Linked DNA regions of Rattus norvegicus. The protein of the gene in region 5 interacts with the protein of the main gene of each other region in a biochemical or structural test. Links are inferred from orthologs where the notes say so. Each region holds a gene or a part of one and is shown on either strand. Other genes may lie near its edges. The genes, in order: Insr, Cdc73, Sirpa, Erbb4, Ptpn11, Frs2 and Kit.

Region 1 (4,181 bases), about 35 Mb from region 5:
TGTGTGTTGAAAATGGAATATGTCTGCCCTGATCCTATATGAAGTTTCTACCGTTGTTCTAGACGCCTTGTTATGTTCTTCTCGGAGTCATTTCTTTATTGATTTCTGCTGGAATTCAGCGCTGGGTGGAGGGGCTCAGGCCAGGGAGCACAGGCTGCCTGCGTTGTGGACACGTGGCTCTGGCCTGGAGGCTGGTGCAGCCACGCTGCTGGGCGGGAGCTCACTGGGGAGGGAACTTGTTGGGCTCCCACTAGCTCCTAGACAGAGCAAGGGTTGGGAGAATCCAGTAAGGCATTAGGAGCAGAGGTTGTAAAGCGAAACAGAATCAAGAGTAAAGAATTAAACTGAATTCCCCACGGGAGTCAAAAAGTAGTAAAAAGAGTAAAGAAAGTCAAGGTCTGCTTGGTCGAATCTGGCATCTGGGGGCATATTGGCGCTCCCACGTTGTGATCAGAGACTCGAGGCTATAGAGCTGTTTGGGATGTTCATGCCCTGAGGAATCTGAGGGGGGCATTTCCAGGCTTTTAAATTGTTATTTCGGGACCATTTGGGGTGTCCGAACCAGGAGGAGATCTAGAGTGAGCTCCAGACCTTTAAATTGGAACCTCGGTGTTATTTGTGTTTGCTGCAGTCTGGAGGTGACCTGGGGGCGTCCCTAGGCTTTTACATTGGAACCTCAGGCCTGTTAGTGGTTTTCGCGTTAGGAGGGGATCTGGGGCTCCCTAGGCTTTAATATATTTGGTTGTGAGCCTAGCCTTTAACGGCTGAGCCATCTCTCCAGCCCTCCCTAGGCTTTTAAATAGGAACCTTGGAACTCTTTGGGGGCAGCTCCCGACGTCTGACAGGGGAGTCTCAGAGTTGTTTGGGTGTTTATGTCAGACTGGTATCTGAGAACACTTACAAGCTTTTTTTTTTTTTTTTTTTGGTTCTTTTTTTCGGAGCTGGGGACCGAACCCAGCACTTACAAGCTTTTAAATCGTAACCTTTCTAAATCGGCAGTTCGGGGTGTGTGGATTGGAAGAGTCTGGGGTGCACGCCGGGCCTCTGAAGTTGGGGGCTCCACAGGAGGAGTCGAAGAGGCGACTGGGCGAGCGGGCAAAGGGGCGAGAAGGCGTGGCATTGCCAGCTCTGGCCACGCCTCCCAGAGCTCCGCTGGCTTGTCTCTCCCTACCCCACCCCCCCCCCCCCCAGCGGGCCTCACTTGTGCGCGCAGTCCCTTCCCTGCCTTAATCCGCGCCACCTTTTCCCTTGGCCCGCGCGGGCCCAGCTGACGGGCCGCGTTGTTTACTGGCCGGAGTCGAGCCCTAGCTCCCGCCGCCGCCACCAGCCCAGGTGCCCTCCCGTGCGCGCGTCCCTCTGTCTCAGACTCCACACAACGCGACCCACCCAGAGCTGCGCGGAGAGGAGAAACGGGAGACCCGGCCAGGGGACGCACCTTGGTGAGCTCTGGACTCTGCGATTGCGGACACAGGACCGGGCCTGGGTGACCCGGGGTTGTAGTCTGCGGGCCGCGCCACAGTGTTGCTTGCAGCCGAGGCCTGTGTGCTCTTCCCAGGACTGTCCCCAGGGCCCTCTAGGCTGGAGATCTGCGGCCCGTAAGCCACCGGCGTGGAAGAGAAGGACGTGCGGCCCCTAGCGCCTGCCTCTCCAGCGACCTTCTCGCGGAGTATGTCCCCAGTGGGCCGGCGTGGCGTGCTCTGATCGCCGGGGTCCCAGCGCTCCTACTGCTATGGGCTCCGGGAGAGGATGTGAGACGACGGCGGTGCCGTTGCTGATGGCCGTGGCCGCGTTGCTGGTGGGCACAGCCGGCCACCTGTACCCTGGAGAGGGTAAGTCTGGCACACGGGGCGATCACAGTGTGTCAGGGACACTCCTCCCACCGCCCCAGCTAACCTAGAGCCCTCACCCTAAGGAGTGAGGGTCGAGGACACCCCCTCTCCACTGCCACAGCCCACATAGAGAACTCTCCCTTTGGGCTGAGTAATGGACACCCTTCCCATCGCTCCATACAACTTAAGAGCACCAACTCCCCCATAAAGGACTCAGGGCACCCATTTCACCACCCCAGCAAGATAGTCCTAAGGACTGAGAGTTATGGACATTTCTCTTCCTCGGCCAACCTAGACCTCCCTCTCCAAGGACTTAGGTTGAGGACTCCCCTAGTGTCCTTGTGTCTATGAAGAGTCCCCTCCCTAGTGAGTGATTACCTTTCCCCTGGGGAAGGGGGAAAAGTGGGCTTGGTGGCCCTGGTCCTGCGTGAAGCCGGCTGACCTTGGCCTTTGCCCGCTGGGTTTGTGGCTCTGTACCCCGCGTATGCCCATCTCGGGTCTGAGGAACCTTGCCCCAGTGCCCGCCCAGCCTTCCGCTGTCTGTCCCCAGTGCACCTCTCAGTCGTGTCTGTTCTTTTCTCTAAACCCAAATCTGCCCTCCGAGGCTCTTTGGGGTTGCCTTAAGTAAGTATGGTTACTGGGGTGCAACAGATTCAGACACCTGAGCAGTTTAAACGCAAAGTCCGGGGTATCCTCATCGATGGAGAAGCGACCCTTTGTGTATAATAAGTTCATGGCTGCCGTGTTTATAAGTTTCTACTTTCAGATGTCTAGAGGCAAAGTCTACATACCTTTGGCCCCACAGCAATCATAGTAACAGTAGGGGTAGCTTTCAGGATGGTTATAATTAGAATGATTATGAGTCTCCAGGCTGGTTTGCCCTAGAACCTCCCAGTGTTCCCCTGAGGCCAAAAGTGTTGCACACCCATTTCACAGAGGGCTAAACTGAGGTTCAGTTAGCGTGCTAAACTCACTCGTTCAGAGGCTGGTCTTATACTTCTGTGCTTGGTTATGGCCAAGGCAGGAGGATAGCCAGTTGCTTGTGGCAAGCCCAGCTATTGATTGAGTTTGAGGCCAGCCTGGGCTAGGTTAGGCACTGTTTGAAAAAAAACAAAAAAAAAAAAAAAAAAAACAAAAAAAATGCAGTGACAAATGCCTTTTGAGTTACTGGTTCAGCTTTCTCTGAAAATGGAAATTAATTACCAGGAGGAAGGGGTCCAGGAGAGAAGGAATTGCAGCTCCTTTGTGAATGAGGGAGGTGTGCGTATTAGGGGGGAGACTGCAGGATTCTGGAACAGATTGGGTTGAGCTTATGGAGTGGATCTGTTAACCTGGTAATGAGGTCCCCAGCATCTGATATACAGAAGGTGCTCAATGAAGGATGGCCATTGATTTGGGGTGTGTGTGTGTGTGTGTGTGTGTGTGTGTGTGTGTGTGTGTGTGTTTGCAGACGCCCTAGGTTGACTTTGGGTGTTTGTCTCTGTCACTCTCGACCTTGTGTTTTGAGACAGGGTCTCTCAATGAACCTAGAGTTTGCTGATTTGACTGTACTGTGTAGTCGGTGAGCCCCAGCCCTCCCGTACCTCCTTTTGTCACTAGGGTTATAGATGTGTCCTGAAGTGCTGGCTTTTATGTGTGTGTGTGGTTGGATCTGAACTCAGGTTCCGATGTTTGGGCAGCAAGGGTTTTCACTTAATGAGCCTTCTCCCCAGTCCATGGTTTGGGTTCTCATTAAGGAAATCTAAGAATTGTTAACATCTACACTGCTCCCTGGGGCTCTTTGGGATTGCCTTAGGGAAGTAGGGGTATGTTGTATGTGTGGCTGTGCACTCGGGCACCTAGTGTCGTCCCTTGAGTTCTGTTTTTACATTCTTTTGGTAATTAATTGTTCGTCTGTGCCTGGATTTCCTGAGTTCAGAAAACAGAGCTTCTGTGGCTTTGTATACCTGCAGGGTTCGCGAGGACGGGGCCTGGTGTTTGTTCCTCACTGATGTTAGAACCTCAGCAGTGCTGGACACGTAGTAGGTGCACATAAATGTTTGTTCCCTACTGGTACACAGAGGACTTGTGCAGTGAGCCTACTGGGTGTATGGCCAGAGTGTAGTGCTCCCCGTGTGCGCACGAAGTCCCTGGATTTCATCCCTAAACTCACAGAAACCGTGTGTCTGCCTGTCATCATAGCAGTCTGAAGATATAGGCAGGTCTATCAGGGGTTCAAGGTCACCCTGGGCTCCGTAGTGGGTTTGAGGCCAGCCTGGGCTACAGGAGACCCAAACGACAATAAATATGATCTCGTGAGTCCTTCCCGCACCTCTTCAGAGCCTCTGGCTTTTGCATGGGAAGAAAGGACAG
Region 2 (3,500 bases), on a different chromosome or scaffold from region 5:
GCCGTATTGATAATTACAGTTATTTTATAAGTGCCCTATCAGTTTTTCATTGTGAGTGTTAAATAAGTAATACTTAAAGATATTAACTAGCAACTTTTTTTCTAGGATCCTACATTGCGTACAAAACAGCCTATTCCAGCTGCCTACAACAGATATGACCAAGAAAGATTCAAAGGCAAAGAAGGTAAGTTGCTTATCCTGTGTCTTCTAATCATGGTCATGATGAACTTTAGTGGTAGTATAGCGTGATATTTAAGAATAACGCTTGGGGTTGGGGATTTAGCTCAGTGGTAGAGCGCTTGCGCAAGACCCTGGGTTCGGTCCCCAGCTCCGAAAAAAAAAAAAAAAAAAAAAAGAAAAAAAAAAAAAAAGAAAAGAATAACGCTTGTCAGGGCTGGGGACATGGCTCAACAGTTAAGATCTCAACCATCTGTAATGGAATCACATGCCCTCTTCTGGTGTGTCTGAAGTGTACTCATATTTTAAAAAAAAGAATAAGGCTTGTTAATTAACTTCCGTAGTACAAGTCTAGTTCAGTCATCTCTTTTTGTAATAAAAGCTTTTTTTGTTATTGTTGCTTAAATCTAGCCATATTTATTCATTTATGTGTTATCTATAGCTGACAGCTCTGATGAGTAGTTTTGACAGAGGTCATTCTGCAATACCTAAAAATAGTATTTGGACTTTACAAGAACAAAGTTGGTTAACCACTTGTTGTATCTTTGATTCTGGATCCAGGTGGTTTGTGTGTGTCTCAGTTAATTTTTGTGTAGATTTTATTGTTATTTGGACTGTGTTCTCTTATTTCACATCTCTAATTAAATATTTATTAATAGTATTATCAACTTATTTCATAGTTACTTTGGGGATAAACCTGGTGCTAAAGATGAAGTTCCTAGTGTAATATTTGATAATATAATAAACTACTCACAAATGTTTGCTATTATTGATGCTAGTTTTGAATATAAAAAATTTGGGGATGTAAAATGTCATGTGTTAATTTCCCTAACTATGAATGTACATTCATAGTTATGCTCCAAGCATAGACTTGCAGCAAAGTGTGAGAGCTTATTTTGTGACAGCCTGATTGACACTGTAGCTAATATAATTGGGAGCCACTTCTGATAAGCAGAATGTTAGTGAGGTAAACTTTCACTAGTTTCACTTGAGAACTTCACTCATCTTGACTGCCCTTAGGAAGATTTGAGATAGAAACAACTGAACATTTGCTATCTTTTTCTGTATTATCTGAAGTCTCTGGGCAACTTTTTAAAAAGGATTGTGTGTGCTGACTTTATTTACCAGATAAAGGTGCCACAGAAAGATAGGGATCCATCTTTTATTCACTTTGGTGTTTTGGAAGGAATGAATTACATAAAGCTCTTCATAGCATATCTAATTTTATAAAGCCCAACTCTAGCTTCTCCAAGTATACACATAGATTCTTCTTGTTTCTACACCACAACTGCAAAATCTTACAGATGACAGACACAAAGGCATATGGACTCTAGTTTGCACAAATACTTGCTGTATGAGCTTTCATAAGAAGATTAGAACATATACTCTATGAAAACAATTTTTCAATTAAATTTCTTTCACTGATAGTCACGTAACCTTGATGGAATTTAAGGAGTGCATATTTTATTTCAATAACATACATACCGTATGTTTATATCATTCTTTCACCTGGTAAAATATTGTCAAACACCCAAATTGACTGCCATTAGTTAATTGACCATAACAAGAGTGAAAGCTAAAGTGGTATGTATGTATAGAGTTAAATGTTTAATTTTAGGGGAGAGAGGGAGAGGGGGAAGGAGCGAGGAAGGAGACAGCATGTTGCACTTGCGTACCTAAAAACTCTTGTTAGAGCACCAGTTTCTACTCAGTGTATAACAATATATCCCTTAGATTATACTTTGGAACCAAAGTTTTTGTAATTTAGGAATTTCCTATTTTATATACTTTTAGTATATAAACCATTTAGTAGCTAGTAGTAAAAATAAGGCTATTCTGTTTTTTTGTTTAGTATTTAATTTTTTTATTTCATTTTTATGTATTTGGATGTTTTGCTTATATGTGTCTGTGCACCACATATGTGCCTGGTGTTCATGGAGCCCAAGAGGGAATCAGATTCCCTGACACTGAAGTTAAAGTAGTTGTGGGCTGATAGTGGGGGCTGGGAATTTTACCTGTTTGTTTTTTTTCCAAACATAGCTACTGCTCATAACTGCTGAGCCTTCTTTCTAGTTCTTTGGTGTGACTTTTTAAAAACAAAATTTGAAAGGTAATCTGAACCAGATTCTATGCAATAAGTGTTTTGGCATTTATTGAATATATTTTTGCAAGTGTCTTAGGATTTTTAATCCTTTGAAATATTTGATAAACTGTATAGTATATTCAAGGCTTTATTATGTTAGTTGTAATGTAAATTGTGATTGAAATTTTAATCTTGAAATACATAAATCATAGTAGATTCTTTGTCTTTGTAGAAACGGAAGGTTTTAAGATCGATACTATGGGTACCTACCATGGCATGACGCTGAAATCTGTCACGGTAAGTTGTTATGACTGCAGGGCTTGTTGGTTCCAGGTGTTTTATGTGAGTAGCAGATGGTAAATTTTTATTCTCTAGCGTTTTTTCCTTGAAATATTTATTTTTAATGACCATTGTAGTGTTAATAGATTTGTGTGATAGATATGTTATTCATTAGTGTTATGCTTTTTTTTTCTTTCTAATCTGAGCAGAATTTATATGTATTTTGACTAATTGCAACTATGATTACATTATGCTGTGTCATTGGGATGTTGTTAAAGATTATACTGGCTATTTTTTAAAAATCTAATGTCTTATGTTCTTTAAAATGTAATTCACTTTGGAAAAATTAGAATGGCACTAGATGTTCAGACTGCTCAATGACATGGGATCAGTCTCCAGATTAGCCAAATTAAATTAGTAAATAGAGAGTAGTACTTGAGGGAATGCTTATTAAAACTCTTGATGGAACCAAATGTTTATATATTCATGAATGATTCAAAGACTTTTAGCTAGCTCATTTGTTTTTTTCTTTTGTTTTCCCTCTTTTTTTTCTTTTCAATCCTTTCTCCTTCTCTCTTTCCGTCTCCTTTCTCACTCTTGTGTCTGATGAGTCCCCCTACACTGTCTTTATGACTCTTTCTATATTGTTTTCATTTGGACTTAAAGAAGGCTTGAACTCCAACTTCCTGAGTAGCTGGAACAGTAGTAGCTATTCAGAAATAGCTTGGCCAACTTCTCCTTAACACTTCTAATTATTATGTAGTAAATGATAGTATTTGATGATGTAAGTCGGGTATACTATTAATGTCATTTTGTATTTTTATATCCTGATGCATAGCCCTTATACTTTAAAAATAATCTATGCATATGCATTAAGTGTTTATGTACTTTAGAACTAAGAACATTACTTAGTTTTGTCCTTGCTTGTGAATTGTCAGAGACTTATAGATGTCACATGACA
Region 3 (3,500 bases), on a different chromosome or scaffold from region 5:
CTGCCTGGGGTGTGATTACAGGCCTCTGTCTGCAGCACAAGAATAGCCCTGCTCCAACTTGTCGGAGCCCAATTCCCAAGTTCCCCCTGAGCACGGCTCCCCGTCAGCTGCTGACTCACAGTTGTGTGCGCTGTTGAGGACGGGGTAATAATAACGGCGCACCAGCTCCTGGGTAGCCACGAATGTTAGTGCCACTGAACGGATGAAGGAAAGAAGAGACTTGGGGTGTTGTCAGGGCCATAGAGCAAATAAAACCTGTTCTTTCTCACTTCATCAGTATGTTCAGCATATATGTGGTTTGGGGACAGGGTCTTCCTAGCTGGGCTGGAAATCACAGAGATCCACTTGCCTCTTGAGCCCATTTCCATCGGGGACACAGTATATACCAGGCAGAAGGCAAGAAACAGTTCATAGTGGATCTACTTATCCTAATGGTGGGGAAAATAGCAGTTGACAGCAAACTGGGTATATAAAGAATACAGCAATGTGATGGTAGGTTTTAGAACTAGAATTGCCATAAAGTATACAGCAGGTGCTTATGTATAGCTTTGGAACAATCCTCATGACAAAGCAGAGTGTACACACCAGTTGCCTGCTGGTGAATCCATTTATGAATACTGAGCTGGCAAAGGGGCCCTGTTCTCGGCCCGGCCTGCGCACGTGGTGGTTCCAGTTCAACCGGTCTTGCGTGGTTAGTTGTACACCCACTGGGAAATATCCATGGCTCCCTGCTATTGGCAGGAGCTGGTGACGTCACTGATGCTCTTGGGAGGCTTCGTGTCTGTCAAGCCTGTTCCCTCCTTGCGTCTTGTCACTTGCCAGGCCACTGGCCCTACCCCTTCTAGGCTGGCTGATGCTGGCTGAGCCCCTGTTTCCACAGGCCTCACTTCTTTCCCTGTACTGTGAGAATCAGGCCGTTCCCAGGCTCTTACTTGCGGTATCTGCTCACATCTGCCATGAAAACCTGACTGGGGAAAGAGGTGAGGCAGGACAGTGAGCAACTGATGACAGGCCCATCCCAGGGCTCTGGGCCCGCAGTGACAGCAGACCTCTCCTGCCTTAGACCCTCTCTCCTTGATAGTACACAACACCAGGGGTTGGAGGATGGGCAAACACACAGTGCCTCTTTTACCCTGCCAACACAAAAGGGGCTACCCGAGGATCCTCCTATAGCCATCTAGTAGACAGAGTCACATTAGAAGCCGGTGGAGAGTCCAGCTGGGGACCAAGATCACCTGACTCGCTGTTGCAGTCTGCCACCCTTGCTGTCCTCATCCTCCCTCTCCTGTCCTCCCCTCTGGACCACTGCGTCTCTAATGTCTATGTGTCTGAATGCTCAGTGTCTACATTCATACGTTTAGCAAACCATTGTGTTTGGATCGAAAGGACTTCATCCATTGAGTTATCCCCTAGATGCTACTTTTTAGAAATAACTTATTTTAATTGTGTATATGTGTAAGTAAGTGTTGTATATGCATGTGTGTGTGTGTGTGTGTGTGTGTGTGTGTGTGTGTGTGTGTGTGTGTGTGTGTGCACGCACTTGGACTTACAGACCACCTGATGTAAGTGCTGGGTATTGAACGTGGGTCCTCAGGAAGATCAGCCGGTGCTCTTAACCGCTGAGCCATCCAGACCAGACGCTGCTTTTTAACTCACCAGCCTCAGCTTGTTTGTTCCTATTAGAAGTACGTCCAGATGGGAGTCCTGCAAAACCTTCCACAGAGACAGAGGCTAAGGGCCATCAAAACTGTTCAAGCAGAAGCCATATCCACATCCCCATGGTACTTGGCAGAGGGCGAGCACCTGGGCCTTCTCTGTTGACCTAATGACGACTCCACATGATTCAGCCACACGCTACTGAGCCACACCTAGGACCCAGGTTCTCAGCTCTCCTACCACTGAGACTGCTGTGTGCTCAGGACTCCATCTCCAGTACAGAATCTACCTCTTTGAAAAGTACCACACATACTGGGCTCTCCTACTTCTGGGTTTGTGCCCTCTGTGGGGGAATTCAGGCTCCCATTTTTGTCTCAGGGTTTCTATTCCTGCACAAAACATCATGACCAAGAAGTAAGTTGGGGAGGGAAGGGTTTATTCAGCTTACACTTCCACATTACTGTTCATCACCAAAGGAAGTCAGGACTGGAACTCACACAGGGCAGGAAGCAGGAGCTGATGCAGAGGCCACGGAGGGTGCTGCTTCCTGGATGGCTTCCCCTGGCTTGCTCAGCCTGCTCTCTTATAGAACCCAGTACTACCAGCCCAGGGATGGCACCACCCATGATCAGTAATTGAGAAAATGCCTTACAGATGGGTCTCATGGAGGCCTTTCCTCAAGGGAGGCGCCTTTCTCTGTATTAACTACAGCTGTGTCAAGTTGATACACAAAACCAGCCAGTACACATTTTCACTGACAAATTCAGATTTGAATTTCAGAGCCCAGCTCAGATAGGACATTTCCCCCCAAAGGGCTTGGGCACTCTACTACACCAAACCATGTGACTTAGCCCTCTGTGCCCCAGTTTTCTCACCACAGTCTTGATTTACAGGTTCATGTGGGGGATAACACATGCCGAACATTGTGCTGAACTCAATACCACTGTGTGTGATCAATCAGTGAAAACCATTGATAAACTTGAGCTTGTAGGATCCCTTAAGGTGAATCATGGCTGCCATCTTTCTCTCCAGGAGCCAGCGGGAAAGAACTGAAGGTGACTCAGGCTGACAAATCAGTGTCTGTTGCTGCTGGAGATTCGGCCACTCTGAACTGCACTGTGTCCTCCCTGACGCCTGTGGGACCCATTAAGTGGTTCAAAGGAGAAGGGCAAAATCGGAGCCCGATCTACAGTTTCATAGGAGGAGAACACTTTCCTCGAATTACAAATGTTTCAGATGCTACTAAGAGAAACAATATGGACTTTAGCATCTGTATCAGTAATGTCACCCCAGAAGATGCTGGCACCTACTACTGTGTGAAGTTCCAGAAAGGAATAGTAGAGCCTGACACAGAAATTAAATCTGGAGGGGGAACAACGCTCTATGTACTCGGTAAGTAGGCTGTGCCTTCCTCATCCCCTCAGGTGTAGCATTAGGTCAGAGAGTAGCATCCCGGTGAGTGTGGCTCACAAGGGCACAATCTGATCTCAACCTTCAGCAGGTCAGGGACGTCAAGGCCAATCGTTAGCTCCAGGTTCCAGTGCTAGCAAGTAAGAGGGCATTAGCATCCCTCATCTGCCCGCCCCACGGCCCTCTCTTCCTTGCACACGGTTCAAGTACCATGAGTACCAGAATGCAGATCCCAGCAGGCTCCTTGCTGCCCAGGTATTAGGCATCCCCACAGGTGAGCCCAGGACCTAGGAAGCACTGAACCTCTAGGAGATGCAGCCTCTCCACACATCACTTTCACAGAGATTCAGGAAGCCCCTTCCATTCAGAACCCGAGGCCTGTCAGTGACAGAAAGCTCTCCCACATGTCAGTCAGGACACAAAGGACCCCTCCA
Region 4 (2,487 bases), on a different chromosome or scaffold from region 5:
TCCTGAAGTGATGTATTAGACAAGGAAGCCTGAGATATGGCAACCTAACGCCATCTTTAATGTAGTAGTTGAATGAGTTATAATATTCTAGGACTTCAGAACCATTGCTCTGTTGAAGTTGGCATGGAGGTTGGAAAGACAGGTGTTACTGGCAAAGGGCCAAAATTTTTTATGCCAATGATAAACGAGCTGATTTATTTAAACCATGCAATTTCACTCCCCTAGCTTAGGGTTGGGGTGTGAATGTTGTAGACTGCTTTCTTAGCACGCAAGAGAACTCAGATTTAGATCCCAGTATTTTACAAATATCTATAAGAACTAAGTTTACCATAGGAAATTGTGATTTGTGTGTGTGTGTGTGTGATACTTTGAAAATAATATTTGATTCTGTATGCACTTACCCATACCACAATCTTGAAGATTGTTTGTTAGTTTGTGAGTTAATAAACACAGAAAAGTTAAACACCCAGGTTAAATAACATTTCAGTTTTAAAATCAAACCCAAAAATTCTCTTTCCTTCTAATATATCCATACAACAAGCGGAGAAGAGAAATAATGGTTATTAAATGTAGGAATCGGGATGATATCCATCAGTGTCATTAGAAGCCATATATGGTGCATTTAGAAGAGAACTGTGTGAAACCCTATGAAATCATCATTATATGACTTTGTTCACTGTTTATAAAACAGAAGCGACTGATCCCTAAATGACCTAACATCGTATAATGAGGGTTTTGATGACTATATCGCAGAATAGATGGTAGACAGATACATATAGATAGACAGATAGATGATAGCTTAGATAAATGATAGATGGATAATAAACAGAAATGAAAATTTCTGTCTAGAGGGTATTTTGGGGAAATTTTTAGTTTGTTTTTATATGTATACGTGCTTATATCTGTGCATTGGTGTGTGTGTCTCTTTGTGTTCATAACTGTGTTTATGTCACATGTGTGCTGTTATTCTTGGAGGCCAGAAGAGAGCATCAGATCCCCTGGAGCTAGAGTTACAGGTTGTCATCAGTGGTCTTGTATTGATGCTGGGAACCAAACTCGGGCCGGCTGTAAAGTCCGCAAGCCTTTAACCACTTTCTCCACTAGCAGAACAAGTATACCATCCTAACAGCCCCAATAAAAGGAAGCACTTAGGTGCATTTAGAAGAGAAGAATATTTTAAAATACAGGGATTCTGCCCTTAACTTTTCTGTCACTATTTTGTTTCATTTGAGCCTACTCTCTTTCCACATTCCGATAAAATCTTCAGGTTTTTGTTTTGTTTTGCTTGTTTGTTTTGCTTTGTTTCATTTTGTCTGAGAATTTATGAAAACAAATTCATAGCTCCCTTGTTCTAAAGAAACTGACCATTGCTGTTAACTTTAACCTGATTATGGTTTTCCAGAAGTAGATGTCTGAACGTAGTATCTTTGTATTATTTCAGAATATCTGAATCCTGTGGAAGAGAACCCTTTTGTGTCCCGGAGGAAGAATGGAGACCTTCAAGCTTTAGATAATCCAGAGTATCACAGCGCTTCCAGCGGTCCCCCCAAGGCAGAGGATGAGTACGTGAATGAGCCCCTTTATCTCAACACCTTCACCAACGCCTTGGGAAATGCAGAGTACATGAAAAACAGCTTACTGTCTGTGCCAGAGAAAGCCAAGAAAGCATTTGACAACCCCGACTACTGGAACCACAGCCTGCCACCCCGGAGCACTCTTCAGCACCCAGACTACCTGCAGGAATACAGCACAAAATATTTTTATAAACAGAATGGACGGATCCGCCCTATTGTGGCAGAGAATCCTGAGTACCTCTCAGAGTTCTCGCTGAAGCCAGGCACTATGCTGCCCCCTCCGCCCTACAGACACCGGAATACTGTGGTGTGAGCTCAGCTAGAGTGTTAGGTGGAGAAACACACACCCGCTCCATTTCCCTTCTCCCTCCTCTTTCTCTGGCAGTCTTCCTTCTTCTCCCAAGGCCAGTAGTTTTGACACTTCCGAGTGGAAGCCGTAGAGACGCAATGATAGTTCCGTGCTTACCTAACTTGAATATTAGAAGGAAAGACTGAAAGAGAAAGACAGAGGGGCACACACTGTTTCTTCATTTCTTCATATGGGTTGGTTAACAGAGTGTCTGTCAGAGCTAGAGAAGGTCTAGGAAGTGTAAGGCAATACCAATACCGCCTGCTGTCAAAGAGCCCCATCTTTGTTCTCTTTGCACTCTGCACTCTCTCCCTCCTTCTCTCCCTGTCCCCATCTCCCTTTAATCTATCAATGCTGGTGATGATCGGAAGCCCAGACTCTGTTCTAATCTGTAGCCATAGTCTTGTGCATATTCAAGCATCCCTGAAATCATTCTAAGGCTTCCATTAGAACAAAAAGATAAGCAGTTGGACACCATTTGATAGTAACTGAGATTGAGAAGCCAATTTCTTTCTCCAATAGTTTCTTTCTTGGCAAGTAAGAATGGCCAATCCAGCTTTTGTG
Region 5 (4,036 bases):
TGCTAACCAAAATGAACTGTTTTAGGACTAGAGACAGTGGCACCGCCAAAGCAGAGGCAGGTGGCTCCGAGCACTCAAGGTCAGCCTGTTCTGCGTAGAAAGTTCTAGGCCAACTGGTATGACATGATGAGACCCTGTCCAGCTTTACCGTGATGATTAAGTAAAACAAACATCAATATGGTGTTCGCCATCCAAGTGTCAGTTCCTATGATCACTTCCTCAAAGAGACCTTCCCTGAATCCCCCGTCAGAACGCAGAGCCTTCTTAGCTCCTCAGGCCAGCACAATAGCTCAGTGTGAAAACGTACACTGCTAACAACCTGAGTTCCATCCCGAGGATGCAATTGTTTTCTGACTTCCACATGTGAACACGAACACGAACACACACACACACACACACAGAGAGAGAGAGAGAGAGAGAGAGAGAGAGAGAGAGAGAAAGAAAGAGGGAGAAAGAGTCAATAACTGAGATCATGGAGAGGAGAGAAAACAAAACACGTGTACTAGTTATAAACAGTTGCTGCTCTTGCAGAGGACCCAAGTTTCATTCCCAGCACTCGTGTGAGGCAACTTAAAACCACCTTTAACTACAAGTCCAAGGGCTCTGACACATTCCTCGGACCTCTGTGCGTGCACACACAATATTAAACAAAAAAACATAAAAAAAAAAAAAAGAAAGAAAGAACCAAGACCATTCGGGACTGACGTGAAGATACAGAAAAATCCATGGAAGAGAACCGAGTCAAGAAACAAACTCACATGAAGGACAAGTATCCTTCAACAATGGAGCAGACTCTACCTGTGGAGAGGTTCCCCAGCAGCTGTGCTGGGACAACTGGAGAGCCCCATGGAATAGAGAGCAGGAACCCACACTTCACACAGTAATCAATTACTGACCCCAGGAATGAGGCATACACATGCATTCACATGCTTGCAAGCTACCTATACATGCAAAATCAAAACAGATCTTTATAAAACTAGGAAATCAGAACTCAAAGATACAGACAAGCTGTATGCAGCCCTCACAGAGTAAGACTGGAAAGTAAACAGTGACAGCCCTTCTGTGGGCAGGCTGCAAGTGCCTGTACACAGTAAATTCAGCCATTCAACTTGTAGATGGCCACCGAAGAGGTGAGACCATACTGAGGCCTTTGCAGGAGCATTCTCAGAATCACATGTGAGTGACAAATTCTAGAGACAGCCAAAGGTCTGTCAGAAAGGGTAAAAAAGGAAACAGCCCTACAATGGGAACGCTATACAATTGGCAGCAGCCGAGTAATAGAACTCTAGCAATATGGATGGATCTGTGAACGTGGACGCTGTACGCTACGCCGGGGTGTGGCGGCACGTGTCGCCAAGCCTGACAACCTGAGTTCAATCCCTGGAACCTGTGTGGTAGTGAGAGCCAATCTCCATGTATCAATTTCCGACCTACAAATGCATACCATGCCTTGGGTCCACACACAATGAATAAATACATGTTAAAAAAAACTTTCAATAATAAAAATCAGGACACCCCCCCCAAAAAAAAACAGTCCATAGTTGTCTAATGTCATTAATACAAAATTCTAGAAAAGTAACAACCAAACAGTGGTCGAAGGAGAGCAGAGGACTGGTAAGAGAGAGCTGAGAAAACCTTACCAGGAGTGGTGACATCTCCCAGATGTCAAGGTTTATCATGTTGTCTGCCGGATCAGAAGCAACTTATCTCAATAAAGCTGATTTTAAAACTAAATAAAACAAGCTTTTATAGTGATCCAGACTGTATAACCCCAGCACTTACAAGGTTGAGAGGTAACGGGAATGTAAGTTGGAGGCTAACCTGGGCAACACAATGAGAGATTCTCTTTCCACCTCTTACCAAGGTAAAAGGCCACAATGTACTTAATTCTGGAAAACTCAATTTGGTCCATGTTTAGAAAGGGAGACCACCACCCACCTCGTACCACTGCGGTACGTGTTAAGCTGGCTTCTAGTAAGAGCGAAGTCAATGTCAATAATTGAGTCTCTGAAGTTGAAACTCACTAATCCTCCTCCTGATCTCAGCTTCCAATCCTATCCTGTGACGAGCACTTTACTTCCGAGCCTCAGTTTCCACATTCGTAAGACGGGAACGCACTCGTTACCCGAAGGAACAATTCCACGACCAGATACAGTTCCCTTCCCTCCCACCTTTCAAAGCAAAGATCACAGTGGGGTTGGGAACACTCCCAGAGGCTGCAGACAGATTCAGTTTTCCCACTTCTGGCACTTGGGGCGAGGGTGAGGAGGCGAAAAGGGGGCACCTGAAAGGGTCCCGTGTGAAGGCCCCGCGGTGGCCCGGGCGCCTCCCCGAGCGCGCGGGGTTATTTCGGAATCCCCAGGAGGCGACGCTCATGAGGCAATGGGTCAGGAATGCGACGGCCGGCCGGGCCGCGGGTGTCCCCACGGGCATCCCGAGTCGCGGGAGCAGGAACTCGGGGCGGCAGGAAATGAATGGGGACCCGCGGGCGGGGCGGTGGGGCGGCGGGGACGCCGCGCCAGTGGGGAGTCCGAGTGTAACCCCCAGCGGCCGCGCAACACAGAAGCGGCGGGGACCCAGGCCGCGGCCCGGCTCCTGCGGGCGGCTCACCTCCGGGATGTCATGTTCCTCCCGCCTCCGGCTCCGCACGGACCCGCTGCTCACTCAGGCTCCACGAGGCGCCGTCACATGGAGGGGGCCGAGTGAGGCCCCGCTCGGGAGCCGACACGGGAGCGGGCAGAGCCGGCCGGCCGCGCGCACAACCCCTGGCAGGCCTGGATCCCGGACACTGCGCGGCCGCCCCGCCGCCCGGCTCGCTCCGCCCTCGTCCCCGCCCCTTGCCGCCGGCGCCGACGTGAAGTCATCACGCCCGCCGCCACAGCCACTTTCTGCTTCCGGTTTGCAGGGCCCTGACCAGTGCTGGAGGTTGGGGAGGGGGGCCTCCTCCTCCTAATCTGTGCGGTTTACAGACTTGAACGCCAGGGAGATTCTTCATCTGGGACGCCGCACATTAGTGCGAGTACACACTACGCATCCAGTGCGGGTGCACACGTGAAAAGCAAACAAATAAGCGGAGGATGGGGGAACCCGAGTTCGGTTCCCAGCACCTGTATGGGGCAGCCCACAACCTCCTGTAACTTCAGTTCTACCGGATCCGCCATCCTCCGCGGGCACGTGCACATACCCACACATTTATAGATAATGTTTGATGATTTATTCCTTTTGCCTCACAAGGTGGTGTACCCTTTAATCCCAGCACTAGGGAGGCAGAGGCAGGTGGATCACTGTGAGATCGAGGCCAGCCTAGTCTGTATTGGGAGTTCCAGGACAGCTAAGTAGGGAGACCCTGTCAAAAAGAGAAAGAAAAAAAAAAGATTTATTGCTTTTTATATTTTTTTAATGTTAGTGTATTAGTAGTCGCCTTGCGTGTAAGTATGTGTGTAACTGTGTGTGTGTGTCTGATGCCCAAGGAGGTCTGAAGAGGACAACAGTCCCTGATAGAGTTACATGGCAGTGAGCCACCATGTGGGTGCTAGGAGCAAAACCCACGACCTCTGATAAAACAGCGTTCTTTACTGCAGAGCCATCTAACCAGCCTCCCGTTGATTTTTTTTGGGGGGTGGGGAGGGGGAGTTGTTTGTTTTTGAGAACAGAAACCTATATGCCATGGCCATACTTCGACAGCTTGAAGTAAGATGAGCACGGTTTTCTTCTCTTTTTGCCGTTTCACCCATATTGGGATTAGCAATCCTGACAAGTGATTCTTTTTCTTTTTTTTTTTTTTTTGGTTCTTTTTTTTTTTTTTTTTTTTTTTTGGTTCTTTTTTTCGGAGCTGGGGACCGAACCCAGGGCCTTGTGCTTCCTAGGCAAGCGCTCTACCACTGAGCTAAATCCCCAACCCCCGATTCTTTTTCTAAATTAAGAAATTTGACCTTTTCCACTTCAAAGAAACACTCCATAACTTCTCTTTTGAATGTCCAAATTTGTTAGTACCAGTGCACTACTCTGGGGGTTGGGGTGGGGTCTCTGTTAGATA
Region 6 (3,500 bases), on a different chromosome or scaffold from region 5:
TACTTCTGAATGGTGTCTCTAAAGAATATATATATATAATATGTATATATTTATACATACGCACTACACATTGCACAAACACTTGGGTATTGTGGGTAGAAGACAGCACATGGGAGCTGGGAAGTACTTGTTAGCTCGTTAAACCTCTGCCTTGAGGCAAATACATGGTGGCACATTGCTGGGAGTTATGAGAACGTAAGGCCCCTGTCCCATTTTTAACAGAACTTTAGTGAGGTACATTTTATACGCTGTGCCACAGATTCGGGTGGGTGCAGTGGGAGCATAAACAAACACGTTTGACTTATAACACAGTGCACAGTGGAGGGGGCAGCATTAATATCTGTAATGGCAAAGATTGCCTGGCAAATGCCCTAAGTCGGAAATGCAGCCTATTGTGGAGATACTGAGAAGTGAAAAGCTTAGCATTTGCTGAGTCTTCAAGAGTAAAGTGCATGTCTCATCACCTCCACAGCAGCAGGAGATAAAGGAACGGCTTTCCAATCTTCTTGGAGAGAGGGAGGAAGGGAGGAAGGAGGAAAGGAGGAAAGGCACCATATTTTCACTTTTCAAAGGAAGATGAAACTGGGAAACACAACATTCAGAAAACACTAGTGATACCCATCAGTTTCCAGCCCTGGTCTGGAAAAGAAATGTTAAGATCTATATGGACTAAAAAAGGATTTTATATGGGGAGAAAAAAGGGAGCAGGGATTTTATTTCCAAAACCAAAAAGTGGGGTCACATGATCTAATCAACAAAACCAATTATCTAAAATTAGGTTTGCTTCAGAAAATCTGAGACATATGGCTACAAATACATGCCAGTGAAATGTCTCACTCTAAAGTTTACCAAATAGTAGCAGGTACATTCTTCCAGGGCCGAGCTCAATGTCACTGTGAGACGACTGTAAAGGATACAGGTATTCTGCATGACTGACTAAACAGAAACAAAGGTGGTTTCCAGAAGACATCTAGAAATTAACATCCCTGTTTACCTCTTCCTAATATTCATGCTGTACCCTAAAATCAAATTCTTAGCAGATGAAGCGGTCCCATTTGCACTCTTAGGCCATATACTACTTGAAGCACAAGTTGTAATGGTGGTATTGGTCAGCTAAAAACTATGACTCTAAGTTCAATCGGAAGGGAAGCCAGGAGCACAAAGGAAGAACAGAGCATCCAGCCCAGAGATAAGAGTCCTCTGAGGTGGAGAGTTACTCCTGTCTGGCTGCTCGTTACAGAGGAAGTCGTACGCTGTTCCCGTCAGTGTCCTTACCCCACGCCACCAAAACCACCAGTGAAATTTGGCACAACTAGCAAACTACTCAGGAGAAGGACAAACTACTCAGGAGAAGGACGAGTGGGGAACAGTGTATTAACCATGGAAACAGCACATGTAGCCACTACTCTCTTGAAGAGAACAGTCAACATTTTAGTTCACAGAGGGAAAAGGAAAAGGAAACGCCTGCTATGCTATAAACCAATGGCACTAAAGATGAGCACATGTAATTCGCTTCTCATGGCCTCAGTCCTATTCTGCTAATCCAGGCACTGTTCTGTGCTGAGTTCCTAAATATACTGAACGTCGGATGACTGAAACCTTTTTTTCAGTCACATCTGGTATAACCAGATCATAACACGAAACGTCCTCAACTTTAGAGAAAACAAGTAAACTATTTCATAAGGCTGCCTAACCTTCCATTTACTATACAGTGGTTTGGGAGTGTTCTTGATTTCCAAGAGTTCAAAATCTGGGATCACATCAGTTTATATAAACTTTATTCATTTCACATTCACGATTATGATATAATCGAACTGCTTCAAGACTTCCCTGTACCTGCTGTGCTGGCAACATTATCAGCTCGCCAACATCATGGATAAGAAGAGCCCAGCCCCACATGAGAGGACAGCAGAGCCGGCAGAGTGGGACTGCGGCCGTGGAGCTGGGACAACCCCTGCTAACATGCTGCACAGGGTATCCCAGAGAGGACAGGACCCTTGGTGGGGACCCAAACCTTTAAGAGTATCTTCCTTTTCTTCTCAGCTACTAAAGAGATTACCCATGGACACAAATGAAATTCAAAATCCAAATGATGCTTTTGTCAGCAACTTGGAAAGTAAACAGCAGATGAATAAATACTGGACAAGGGTAACCCTGTCAGAGAACAGCTCCAAATGGACCTTCAAGACCATAACTGAAAATTCAGACTAAGTAGTGAGAGCAAACACACAATCCCATTCCAAAATGGTGCACAAACATTGTGTTGTAACTAAAAGATATTCTATAACAAGGCAAGACAGCTGCAAGATGGAAGGGGCTAAAACTGAAGCTCGTGGGATTCAATGGCACAGATGTCTCCAGAAACAATGTGTCAATAACCTATCACAAAGAAACACCAATAGATCATGGTGTAGACTTTCAAATGTTTTTGGGTAAAGTGACCTGAGACTGATTCCTAAACCCATTGTAACTCTGAGTTAGATGCTATCTGCCTTCAAATGACACCAGGAGGCGAGAACACGGCGCTGTCTCCCTTCTGCCTTCCGATACACAACTAGACTGGGTTCTTTCTAGTGACAGTGAGGACAGAGGAACTAACTGGCACAGAAGGAAGTGTGGCTCTCTTTGTTTCTTTTACACAAGTGTGGCCCAGGTCAAAAAGCCTTTAACTGATGAAATAAATCCTCACCTTGCATGCTGGAGACCATAACCTGTGAACAGTGACCTACAGGATTCCTCTCAGGGCCTAGCGTTATGTTAGCGATGTGCACTGTCAAGAGACTTTATAAAAGGTTCAAATGCAACCACAACTTCAACATGAAAGATGCACACACCCAGAACACTGAGTCTACGTCAGCCAGTATGCACTCCCTTCCCTTCTCATGGTAAATAGGCACTGTAAAAACGAGGACGCTGCTGTACAGCGATGAGCACAACATCATGAATTAGTGAAGTACCTGCTCTGCATTAATTCCCTTTAAAGATGCACAGGAAATACTCAGGGAAAACAGATCAGTCTACAAAAGGAGTTAGTGTAGAAAGGAGAACAAGCGCTGCCTCTTCCTGGTGGAAAGCTCGCGAAGGTGCAGACGCCGACATAATGTGTCCGGCTCACATGGGCAGGTCAGTACTATTGTGTCTAGTCTTCCTGGACGTGCCGTCATCCCGAGGCAGCGCTTTCTGCAAGTTGGACATAGCAGCAGTTCTCTCAATGTCTATCACGGCATACAGCTCTGTGCGCCGGGTGGGGGTCTGTGGGAGGGGAGTGGTCGGTGTTTTTGGGGTCTGAGGGTTGTCAGAGTCACTGCCCCCTTCCAAGTCCACCTGTATATAATTGAGTTGCCTGTGTTCTAAACTAGGGCGCCTGATATCAAAGTTAAAGACTGTGGGTGTGCAATCCCTACGCCTTGAACAGTCTATTTTGTGAGCACTTGCCGGCACTGTTACATTCTCTGTATTAACATAGTTATGCATTGGATCTAGATTATTATGGTAGCCAT
Region 7 (3,500 bases), on a different chromosome or scaffold from region 5:
GTGGCCATTATATCCATCTTCAGTGGCTAAGCCTTCTTAGTCCCAACATAATTCTATCTATTAGCATCGCTTATCACAAAAGGCAACATGGCGGAGAGTGACACAGGACAAGCAAGCCCCTTTCTACCTGAGCGTCTAAATGACATGAACATTCGGGGCCAGGCATGACTGCTGGCTTGGCAACCACAAGTGACTGCTTTCGAAGGCTCTACTATGATCAAGTATCCTACAGGGATCCTTTGATTCACTTCTGTGTACGGCAGGCATGGTTCTGCCTCCTTGCTGTAATGTTACTATGAAAATGAAGGACTCATGCTGCAGCCTGGTAGGAAGTAGCCCCAGAGCAGCCAAGCCCACAGTGGAGAGTGGGCGAAAAGCCTGAAATGACCCGGTTTCCTGAGCATTACTACTTGAAAACAGAGTTGTTGCTTGGGAATGTTTAAAGAGCGCAGTTTTAACAGGCCACTAATTGAGTAGAAACTGCCTCGTGAACAACTCATGGTGTGTAGAAGCACCAGTTACAGGGGCTGTCTGGAGACACTGTCTAGAGCTGCCTACTGTCCCGTGGTCCTCCCTAGACAGACAGCAACAGCTCACCTCACACTCCTTTGTTTCCTGTAGGACAAACAAGAGGCCTTCTGGAAATGTCAAGACACCCTCGATGGGAACGCTGACTTAGGGGCAACAATTGGAAGCTTGTTTTTAATGGAAGGGAAAAGCTTGTTCTACCTTGTGGTGCATTTGAAAACCGGGAGGCTCGGGGCCCCTCTCAGTTATAGACGGCAAATCAACATTAACTCCCAAGTGACAGATTATAGCACAGCAATAAATAAAGCTACCCCGGCCCTCGGGATGATAGAACCAAAAATTGCATCTCTATGTGCTTACACTGTTTAAGGGGGAGAGTATTATAATTCAACACACACACACACACACACACACACACACACAATATCTAATGAGGAAGGGGTGTGTGTGTGTGAATGGCTCCCCATAAAGAGAAATCCTGTATGCACCCAAAAGTTTGTGGGAGTTTAAAACATTCTACTGAGGGTGCAATAGATGTCCTTTGGACTATAGCGGGGGTTGGGGGAGATAAAAGAATCTGAGTAATGGGCACCAAATATGGCTGCAGTGAGTGGTTCTAACACAGCCACGGCCCACATCTCAAACTAACAAGAGGACAGGAGTCTGAAGGCTCCCAACACTCAGGAATGATAAAAATCTACATTCTTAGGAACACCGTGGAAAACCAAACCCAGTGAAACAGAACAAAGCGCTCGGTTGAAAAATCTCTCTCAAATAGTTTACAATTAAGCACTGCCTGGATCATACTTGAGAGGCGGACAGAGGGCAACAGGCGCTGCAGACCCAAGACTCACCTCCCACGGTACACGCTCCAAGGAGGTTGACGATATTCATGTGATTACCCAGGTAGCTCAGGACCTTCAGTTCTGACATTAGGGCCTCCCTTTCCGTTAAATGGGCACTTGCTAAAACGGGAAACGGTGTATTTTAGCAAAAAAAAAAAGGGGGGGGGACTATTAGACAAACTGGTGGTCGGTACAGAAGTAAGCACCCCGGAGACACTTACGTTTGAGCATCTTCACGGCAACCGTCATGGCGGCATCCGACTTAATTAAGCCATAGGCAGTGGCCTCAACTACCTTCCCAAAGGCACCAGCTCCCAAGGTCTTTCCTTTAGGAAGGGAGAAGGCAGGGTCAGCGGAAAGAACAAACAACAGTGTTCACAAGGTTCCCAAATCAACAAGGCAATCGAAAACACGTGTGACCGGAGCTGCCTCTCCACAGGATTCTTTTCGCTAACCCTGCCAACTTCTGTGCAGTTTGACAGAAAAGCACTTCTTGTTTTAGGTGAAACAAGGCAAGGAAGCCACTGCGGGTTCCCTAAAAATCACAGTTACGTGTACACAAAAGGGCAGCGTGGAAAGCACCTGCTTCCTACTGACCAAAACTCAGCCTGTTTCTGGGAAACTCCCATTTGTGGTCATAAGGAAGCTGCGTTGGGTCTATGTAAACATAATTGTTCCCATTTATCTCCTCGACAACCTTCCATTGTACTTCATACATGGGTTTCTGGAGGAGAAAGGAAAGAGAGATGTGTCACCATTGAATGATCAGCACCTCCCCTGTCAGCAGCAGCGGCCCAGGGAGAGAACAATTCTACGCTCACCTGCAAATATTTGTAGGCAAGAACCATCACAATGATCCCCATCAAGCCGGCTGTGACCACGAAGCCAATGAGCAGCGGCGTGAACAGGGTGTGGGGCTGGATTTGCTCTGCAAGGGGAGAGAATTGTGATTGTGAGCTGACGACGGCCTGGCCACCACCTGTCCCAAACTAAACCATTTCCCTCATGGCGCATGCAGGGAATGCATCTTTCTCTTGCTGTACAAATACAAAGTCTCTCCCTCTCCTTCCTTCCTTCCTTCCTCCCTCCCTCCCTCCCTCCCTCCCTCCCTTCCTTCCTTCCTTCCTGGTGCTAGGGCTGGAACCTGGGTATGTGTTTTGGAACATCACGATGCCCATAACCGCACCCTTACTAGCTGCACAGACCTCTTCAGAGATGTAAGTTGAAACCAGAGGCCAGAGAAACTGACATTTCTGAAGTAACGCACATGATGTTATGCTGTTTTCAATGAAAAGCAGCATCTGAGTGGACCTCCTTTCTGGGTGGTTTACATTTGCTTCTTTCTGCTCTCTTACATTTTCTAAATTTTCTACACTGAATGTAAATGTCTTCCCACATCGAGGGAAGACATTTTTGAAGCATCCTTTTCATTGCTCTGTCTGGGAAAATCAGCAACAGAGAAGGGTGCTATGATTCAGCCCCTCCTCATCCGAAAGCTGAAGATACACAGCCTTTTGGCATGAGTCCTATGGCCAGTGCTAAATTCCACAGAAACTGGGCACTAAAGAAACTCAAGGGTCTCAGATATACCCATCCACCAATGCCTACAAAGGTCATCTGGCCTGCTAGTCACCCAGTGGCTAGATAAAGAGCCTAGGTGACAGAGGCCATCTACATAGCATGCAGTGAGCTCTGTATGAGTCTGATGATGCAGATGGGTAAGCACATACACACATACACACACACATACATACATACATACATACATACATACATACATACAAATAAAATGGGATCTTGTCATTTGCTGACAAGATCATGTAAAGGATATTGTGAACATTTCAATACATATGTTTAACAAAATGTAACGCATCTTAAATAACTGAAATTTTAAATTGAATTTAACATTTCTATTTACTTTTTATTTATTTTTTTTTTATTATACATGTGTAGCTGTCTTCAAACACTATAGATGACTGTGAGCCACCCTGTGGTTGCTGGGAACTGAACTTGGAACCTCTGGAAGAGCAGTTAGTGCTCTTAACTGCTGAGCCGGCTCCCCTTTGAATTAAACAATTTCTTTTTTTTTTTTTTTTTTTGGTTCTTTTTTTCAGAGCTGGGGACCGA

What was found.
Region 1: the proteins of Ptpn11 (region 5) and Insr form a complex in vitro, tested with the Homo sapiens proteins (2 studies listed by BioGRID). The link is inferred for Rattus norvegicus from reciprocal best matches to the Homo sapiens genes PTPN11 and INSR.
Region 2: of the proteins of Ptpn11 (region 5) and Cdc73, one has a biochemical effect on the other in vitro, tested with the Homo sapiens proteins (2 studies listed by BioGRID and IntAct). The link is inferred for Rattus norvegicus from reciprocal best matches to the Homo sapiens genes PTPN11 and CDC73.
Region 3: the proteins of Ptpn11 (region 5) and Sirpa form a complex in vitro, tested with the Homo sapiens proteins (2 studies listed by BioGRID). The link is inferred for Rattus norvegicus from reciprocal best matches to the Homo sapiens genes PTPN11 and SIRPA.
Region 4: the proteins of Ptpn11 (region 5) and Erbb4 form a complex in vitro, tested with the Homo sapiens proteins (2 studies listed by BioGRID, with this or other methods). The link is inferred for Rattus norvegicus from reciprocal best matches to the Homo sapiens genes PTPN11 and ERBB4.
Region 6: the proteins of Ptpn11 (region 5) and Frs2 interact in a test that uses a peptide from one of them, tested with the Homo sapiens proteins (2 studies listed by BioGRID, with this or other methods). The link is inferred for Rattus norvegicus from reciprocal best matches to the Homo sapiens genes PTPN11 and FRS2.
Region 7: the proteins of Ptpn11 (region 5) and Kit form a complex in vitro, tested with the Homo sapiens proteins (3 studies listed by BioGRID and IntAct, with this or other methods). The link is inferred for Rattus norvegicus from reciprocal best matches to the Homo sapiens genes PTPN11 and KIT.

What each region holds. Positions count from the first base shown.
Region 1 is NC_086030.1:6,126,004-6,130,184, reverse strand, and holds the start of Insr (insulin receptor preproprotein), read left to right. Parts: upstream 1-1,381; 5' UTR 1,382-1,729; coding exon 1,730-1,829; intron 1,830-4,181. UniProt on the Homo sapiens protein: Receptor tyrosine kinase which mediates the pleiotropic actions of insulin.
Region 2 is NC_086031.1:57,965,532-57,969,031, reverse strand, and holds part of Cdc73 (parafibromin), read left to right. Parts: intron 1-105; coding exon 106-184; intron 185-2,492; coding exon 2,493-2,557; intron 2,558-3,500.
Region 3 is NC_086021.1:137,287,054-137,290,553, forward strand, and holds part of Sirpa (tyrosine-protein phosphatase non-receptor type substrate 1 precursor), read left to right. Parts: intron 1-2,688; coding exon 2,689-3,048; intron 3,049-3,500. UniProt on the Homo sapiens protein: Immunoglobulin-like cell surface receptor for CD47. Acts as docking protein and induces translocation of PTPN6, PTPN11 and other binding partners from the cytosol to the plasma membrane.
Region 4 is NC_086027.1:76,980,634-76,983,120, reverse strand, and holds the end of Erbb4 (receptor tyrosine-protein kinase erbB-4 precursor), read left to right. Parts: intron 1-1,441; coding exon 1,442-1,887; 3' UTR 1,888-1,987; downstream 1,988-2,487. UniProt on the Homo sapiens protein: Tyrosine-protein kinase that plays an essential role as cell surface receptor for neuregulins and EGF family members and regulates development of the heart, the central nervous system and the mammary gland, gene transcription, cell proliferation, differentiation, migration and apoptosis.
Region 5 is NC_086030.1:41,024,843-41,028,878, reverse strand, and holds the start of Ptpn11 (tyrosine-protein phosphatase non-receptor type 11), read right to left. Parts: upstream 2,801-4,036; 5' UTR 2,625-2,800; coding exon 2,611-2,624; intron 1-2,610. UniProt on the Homo sapiens protein: Acts downstream of various receptor and cytoplasmic protein tyrosine kinases to participate in the signal transduction from the cell surface to the nucleus. Positively regulates MAPK signal transduction pathway. Dephosphorylates GAB1, ARHGAP35 and EGFR.
Region 6 is NC_086025.1:54,598,657-54,602,156, forward strand, and holds part of Frs2 (fibroblast growth factor receptor substrate 2), read right to left. Parts: coding exon 3,112-3,500; 3' UTR 1-3,111. UniProt on the Homo sapiens protein: Adapter protein that links activated FGR and NGF receptors to downstream signaling pathways.
Region 7 is NC_086032.1:32,912,813-32,916,312, forward strand, and holds part of Kit (mast/stem cell growth factor receptor Kit precursor), read right to left. Parts: intron 2,302-3,500; coding exon 2,195-2,301; intron 2,098-2,194; coding exon 1,971-2,097; intron 1,700-1,970; coding exon 1,595-1,699; intron 1,494-1,594; coding exon 1,383-1,493; intron 1-1,382. UniProt on the Homo sapiens protein: Tyrosine-protein kinase that acts as a cell-surface receptor for the cytokine KITLG/SCF and plays an essential role in the regulation of cell survival and proliferation, hematopoiesis, stem cell maintenance, gametogenesis, mast cell development, migration and function, and in melanogenesis.